Danio rerio: one gene and its partner. Each later gene encodes a partner of the first gene's protein in a complex. Links are inferred from orthologs where the notes say so. Each region holds a gene or a part of one and is shown in the gene's direction. Other genes may lie near its edges.

Region 1 (2,880 bases):
ATTTGATTCAACTTAGTTCTTACCCTGTTTAAAGTCTGACAATAAGTACCGTAATATATTAATTTTGAACCATTTTCTTATTCTGATTTAAATTCAAGTTTGTAATGTTGTGACAAATATGTAAGGTTTCTTGTTGGTTTTATTCATTAATTTTTTTTATTTCAACTGTGTATATATACAGTATATCCCTACTTTTGAAAGTAATGCATCACAATATTAAGTTGCAGTGGTCCCTCATTATACGCAGGAGTTACGTTCCAAAAATAACCTGCAATTGGCAAAACCTGCAAAGTTGTCCACTTAATTTTTTTTTTTTTACAATTTTTATAGGTGTTTTAAAGCTGTAAAACTCCTCACTACACACTTTATACAGGAAGGAACACTTTCATACTAGTCAATATTACTGAAATTAGTTTGAAAACTGAAAAAATATGCATTTACACCAGTAAATAAATAGACTCATTGATGGGCTGGAAATCTGCAGACATTTTTTGCTATTTGTGCTTAGAATTTTGTTAGAAATCTGAATTTTGAACTAAAACCTTAATATATGAACAAAAAAGTAATTTAACTTGTATTTAATGTTCACAATGCAAATCCAATTAGATCCACTTGGTAAACAAAGCAAGTCTCTCATATAATATCTCTACTAAAAGGCAGAACATATTACTTTACAAACTATATTTTAAATAAATCATTTGAATATTTTCATATTAGCCAATAATATTACTGAAATTAATTAAAAAACTGAATTAATATAAATTTACACAAATAAATAAATAAACAGACTCAATGAAGGGCTAAAAATCTGGAATTCTGCTCGCGCAGATGCCGTGTGGGCCTAGTTATTAGTTAAGTAAAATCACTGTCCATTGAGACAAAAATGAGAATACTTCCATTGCAGAATTATAAGTGTCTGGCTTTTTCATTTATGTCTGTTCCCGCAGGGAGAACATTCTCTTATTGACTCAACATAACTACATAAATTTTAGATATAAGTACTTTTTAAAGTTAACCCTTTCAAGGCAGGCGTTGCAGATTTGCAACAGTTAAAAATTAACTACCTTATTACTCCAGATACATATTTTATAAGTTTTTTTACTCAGAAGTACCACTGCAGGACTTGGTTGTCCATTTGCAACAAACAGTTTCCCCACTTGCTCACCAGATGACACGCACACAAAAAAAAAGTTTCTTGGAGTACCACATGTCAAAGTGACTTGGAAACATGACCTACTCGATGAGGATTTGAGATACTGGATTTAGATCCCATATTGTTTTTGTTGTTGTTCTGCCACTGAAAAGCAATTTGTTACATTGCTTAAAAAGTTGTATATATAAAATTTTTTTTATTAAAAAATTTGTATAAATTGTATAAAAAAAATATTTTTTCATATATTCAGTCGTCAGTGTCTAATTACCACACTGAGCCAATGTTGCAAATCTGCAATCTCCCAGAACGCCATATGATAATTTTCCCCAAATATCAGATTTTTCCTGTTTCTAAAAATTTATTTGAGCCTGAGAGGGTTAATTTAACTTAAAAGTAACTGGCTTTGCTTTTTAAATTATAAAGGTAACTCAAATATTATTACTTAATAATTTTAAGTAATGCATTACTTTTACTCTTTATTTAGCAATATTATTTCTTTCGTTGTAACATTATCACACAATTAGCGTTACCCCCAACACTGCTAAGAAAAAATTAATGTGAAATATATTTCCAGAATCAGTGTTACCAGTTGAAAAGAAAGCCAAGCTTGGGAAGCAGTTTCACTCAAATTTACACTACAACATAGAAGAAAACGCCATTACAACTAACATTTTGATCTTTAATCAACATTTAATTTTTACTGAAGGATTAAAGCTTTTTATTATTTATTTTTTTTACAGTTTTGAAAATAATTCTATTGCTTTGGAAATCTAATTAATCTTCTATTACAGCTATTTGAAAAGCTAAAAGTGCAAGAGACTGCAGCCCTCAGTGCCGTGGAGAGGAAGCAAGGAGATAAACTCTTAAAGTCAGACCCACGCAGCGGTTCATCTCAACTCAAAGACCAAAGCAGGAGATCCGACTCCAGACACAACAAGGAGAAACCCGAGCTCTCCGAGATAGACAAGAGTACATCATCAAGAGAGATGCAAAAACCTGAAAGCAGGCCTAAAGTGGAGTATGGAAGAGTGCACACGCGTCACGTCAATCAGCTGTTCATACGAGGAGAAAACGTACTACTTGTGAACATACAACAGGATTAAACACTTGTTTTGGAAATTACCCAGAAATGTTTTGTGTATCATATTGATATGTAAATCACTGAATGAAATTGTTAAAAATTGAGTAAAATAAACTCTTTTTAAATAGTGTTGGGTCAATTTGTTGATCTATTAAACAACAGACATACCGTTTGCTTTTGCATTGAATGACCTCTAGGGGGAAGTAAAACACTGATGCACAGTAAGCATAAGTCTATTTTGTTACACATTTTATAAATCATCAAGAGGAAATCTTAATACATTTATGAAATCATTTGCTGATATTCAAAGTGAAAGTCAATCTGTCAGTCTCACTGAAACTAAGGCTCGCCAGTAGATGCTCCTATTTTCATGTCACACTTAAATAGTTTTCTGTTAGGCATTTCTCTCTTTAAGTGCACAAATTGCAGCAGGTCTCTATGGATTTTTGGTAAAACCATATAAATGGGTTAATTGGGCTTTTTGAGGCTGGAAATTGCATGTGGCACTCAAGGCTTTTTTGTCTTGACGTCTGATTGTTATTTTCATTTGCTGCATACATTAACTATAATGGTGCGGTTTATTCAGTCACATGTCAATATGCATTGCTTCACGTCATTTTATTCCTACACTTGATACAAGACATTT
Region 2 (4,094 bases), on another chromosome or scaffold:
TATTCCATGACGTGGACAAAAAAATAAATAAATAATACTGACTTTAAATGTCTGAAATAGACCTTTTAAATGTCTATGATATTCCAGAAACTCTATTACCTGTGGGAACCCTTAATACAAATGTAAAGAGACCAAATCATAGTTTTTTTATTATATTATATATCTACACTCTGTATTAATTACTGTATATTACTATATACTGGATGGATGGATGGATGGATGGATGGATGGATGGTTGGATGGTTGGATGGATGGATGGATGGATATGCAGATAGATAGATGGATGGATGGATGGATGGATGGATGGATGGATGGATGGATGGATGGATGGATGGATGGATGGATGGATGGATGGATGGATGGATGGATGGATGGATGGATGGATGGATGGATGGATGGATGGATGGATTGATTGATTGATATTTTGTTGTGGTTGTTGTTAATAAAAATTACCTTGGTATTACCAGGATGAGCTGGCCAGCACTGAACTGGCTCGCATAGCGGAAGAGTTTGATGAAGAGGGAAACCAGACGGAGGAACTGGGAAACAAGGGTGATGATTTGCTGGCCATGATGGATGAGCTCTAAAGGTCAGTCGCTATCAACAGTGAGTCAGAAAGCATGTGGCAGGTCTGAAAGGTCACAAAAAATATGCTCTGTTAGAAAATGCCTGACATATTTACTTTCATAAACATTATTAAGAACAAGCTGGAAGGCATATTCAGCTGTCATCGGTTCCCTTCATGGTTTTATTTGCTTCACACTTTATTTGAAGTGTTGTATTAACATTTTTCACTACTTTTTAATGATAAAACATTTAGTTTTAGTTTTTCATAATTTTCAAATAATACATGGTATGTTAAATACAGAAATGTAACGAACCTACATTTCAAACGAAGCTAACGTTATTCTGACAGGACGATGAAATTAAAATGTCGACTACAGCAGTCAACGCGTCTTAAAATAACAGTATATATCAACTCGCCCAACATATAGAAAGCAGCAGCATTTTAGGAGATAACTTACACTGAATTTAAAAACAAAAAGTTTGTAAACTAACCAGTTTCTCCGATTAAATATTGACGTTGTACACGTAATGAGCCACCAGAGGGCGCGCGAACGATTTTAATCCGGTACGTCTTGATGACGTAATTATCAGCTGCGACAAAGCGCGGTGCTCGAAACCATTAGGACGTAAACATGTTTTGAGCATGTAGACAACACCACGGAAGGTAATAAATGTTTTATTCACTCTCTAGTTCAGCAGCTTTTTATGAGTGGCTGTGGTTTTGTTAAAAAATTAAACAGTCATGTTCTCGGTTGAGTTGCAACTCTCGCGTGCTCCATTAAGTCGTAAAGGTTTCCTGTTCAGCTAGTTAGTAGTTAAGTGGATACTGTACACTGGTAAGTCAGCTACTATCCAGTGTGCAATCGTCATTTCTGCTTATTTCGGTATTTAACTTTGGAACCAATGCAGAGTCAGTATAAAATGCACAAAACCTTAACTACACACACATACATTAATAAATAAAGCTGCGGGTTAACTATGTTTATATATATATATATATATATATATATATATATATATATATATATATATATATATATATATATATATATATAAGCTATTGTTAAATTATTAGTAACTAATACAGTACAGTCACTAATATTATCTTTTCTAAATTTGATTGTAATGCAATAATTTGCACCTCTGAAACATTCATTATTGTGAAAAGGGCTGTACAAATAAGCCTGAATTGAATACTAGCCTTGGTATGCATACTATACTTATTGATTTAATGTTTAATATAATATAAAAAATTATCAAACAATTAAATAATAGTTGGCTAAAATTGGCACAAAAATCTTCCTACACATACACAAATAGACATATGAAGACATTAAAAAGTGCAAAAACGTATGGAAACATAATATATTATGTATGTATGTGTATGTTATGTTATTAACGCGGATTAAAATTCATTTAAAGACATTTGACAACATATTTCACATTTCACCTTTGTAAACAAACCTGCTTTGGATATTTTCTATCAATTTCATAAAAGGCGGTGTGCGATGTGTCTGTCAGCGGAGCCGTAAACCTGCAAGCATGCACTTGCCCACAACATTTAAATACAATTATTCAGCTTATGACAGACATTTTTTACATTTATGTGAGGCAACCATTTTCCATATACTTCTTTGAGATTTACAGATATACAGTTCTCAACATAATCGAGTACACCCCATTTTGAAAATGAATATTTTTATCTATTTCTTGGTGAGTATAGGGCATATATTTTGGTGCATTTGAACAAAACAGATTATATATATATATATATATATATATATATATATATATATATATATATATATATATATATTTAATATTTTACTTACAGAACATTTTTAGAAATTTTAGATTCTACATTCAAATTAATGTAAAATATTGAGAAAATAATTACAAACTACTTTTGGACTGTTATCATAAGTTATTTTGTTAGATTAGCTCCAGATTTGGCTTCAGTACTAACTAATACAATACATAAATATAATATTCATAAAGCTTCTTGTAGAAAACATTAATTTAAATGAGAGATCTGTGGGGCTGTACTTGTATATGTTAAGCACTGTATTTGCTGTAAAACATCTGCGGATTTATGCAGAATGATTTTAGGAGTATCATTACAAAAATCTTAATAAATTAAATAAAAATAATACTGTTTTAACTTGTATTTAATGTTTACAGTGCAAATCCAACTAGATCCACTTATTCGGTAAACAAAGTCTCTCATATAATATATCTACTAACAGATGGAACATATTAATTTACATACTGTATTGTACATAAATCATATGATAATTTTCATATTAGTCAATAATACTGAAATTAATTTCAAAATTGAATGCATATACAAAGTAAATAAATAGACTCAACGATGCACTAAAAATCTGCGTCATGCTCCACATGTTGATTCTGTGTGGGTCTAGTCATTACGTAGTATTATAATCAGATATTATATCACACAAAAGAAATCGTCTGATTGTTTATGATTATTTTGTGCACAGATCAACATGGACGTGAGCCATTCGATACGTGAACGCACCATCGCTGAGAACAGTCTGGTGATCCTCCTGCAGGGTCTGCATGGACAGGTGACCACAGTTGACCTGCGAGACGAGAGCACAGCGAGGGGCAGAGTGATAAATGTGGACGCTTTCATGAACATCCGGCTGGAGAATGTCCTATACAGGGACAGACGGGGACGCAAGTCGAGCATGGATGATCTCTTCATTACTGGCAGAAACGTGCGGTACGTCCACATCCCTGACCAGATCAACATTATAGAGACAATAGAGGCGCAGCTCTCCAAAATACACCGCGTGCGAAACTTCGGAGCGGGCGGTGGACGGAAGGAGTACTCAAAGAAAAAGTAGCTGATGCTTGCAGTGTGTTTTTGATGGGAATGCTCGTTGGTGAATAGTTTGTTTATATTAAAATGGTTTCTGGGTCATGTGGGAAAATGACTTGTGTTTATTTTGAGCGTCTCTGGTGGTTTGAGAATTACATAAGCAGATTAGTGAAATGACTATTGACTGATGAGTTATTTAATGTGGCGTTGTTTGTTTAAACTACACGCTTTGCTTTTTCCCATGTCAATATTGCTTAGCCAAAAGTACACGTATATTTAAGGTTATATGCAAATATTGGTACACTGATGCATTTAACACTTTGTTTACAGTGTAATGGGAATGTTTATTTTCAAAATTGGCGCTTTTAAATATTTGTAATGACTTCATGAGATCAAATGAATGACTATTAAATTGGATATCTCATTCATTTTCCTTCAGCTTAGTCTGATTATCAGGGGTTGCCACAGTGGAATGCACTGCCAACTATTCCAGCAGGAAGAGCCCCGTGCTGTTGGGGGGGGGGAGGGTTAGGACGATTCTAAGGACTCACACAGTTTTGGGGCCCCCAGAGACATTATTAGGGGCCCTAATGACCCCACCCCTTCCACTCTTCACTTTGGTCAGCAGCATCCTCCTCCTCACTCTTCACTGTCGTCCGTGCCCTCCCCTTTTCTCATTTGT

What was found. Proteins that work in one complex are often made in the same cells at the same time.
Region 2: lsm11 (region 1) and lsm10 share a complex: the UniProt entries of both Homo sapiens proteins name them as parts of the heptameric ring U7 snRNP complex. The link is inferred for Danio rerio from reciprocal best matches to the Homo sapiens genes LSM11 and LSM10.

The regions. Positions count from the first base shown.
Region 1 is NC_133189.1:39,992,001-39,994,880, reverse strand, and holds the end of lsm11 (U7 snRNA-associated Sm-like protein LSm11), read left to right. Parts: intron 1-1,944; coding exon 1,945-2,256; 3' UTR 2,257-2,363; downstream 2,364-2,880. UniProt on the Homo sapiens protein: Component of the U7 snRNP complex that is involved in the histone 3'-end pre-mRNA processing. Increases U7 snRNA levels but not histone 3'-end pre-mRNA processing activity, when overexpressed. Required for cell cycle progression from G1 to S phases.
Region 2 is NC_133194.1:4,215,320-4,219,413, forward strand, and holds lsm10 (U7 snRNA-associated Sm-like protein LSm10), read left to right. Parts: upstream 1-1,158; 5' UTR 1,159-1,231; intron 1,232-2,031; exon of another isoform or gene 2,032-2,114; intron 2,115-3,068; 5' UTR 3,069-3,074; coding exon 3,075-3,437; 3' UTR 3,438-3,514; downstream 3,515-4,094. Other genes in the region: protein OSCP1a, read left to right, coding at 468-587. UniProt on the Homo sapiens protein: Appears to function in the U7 snRNP complex that is involved in histone 3'-end processing. Increases U7 snRNA levels but not histone 3'-end pre-mRNA processing activity, when overexpressed. Required for cell cycle progression from G1 to S phases.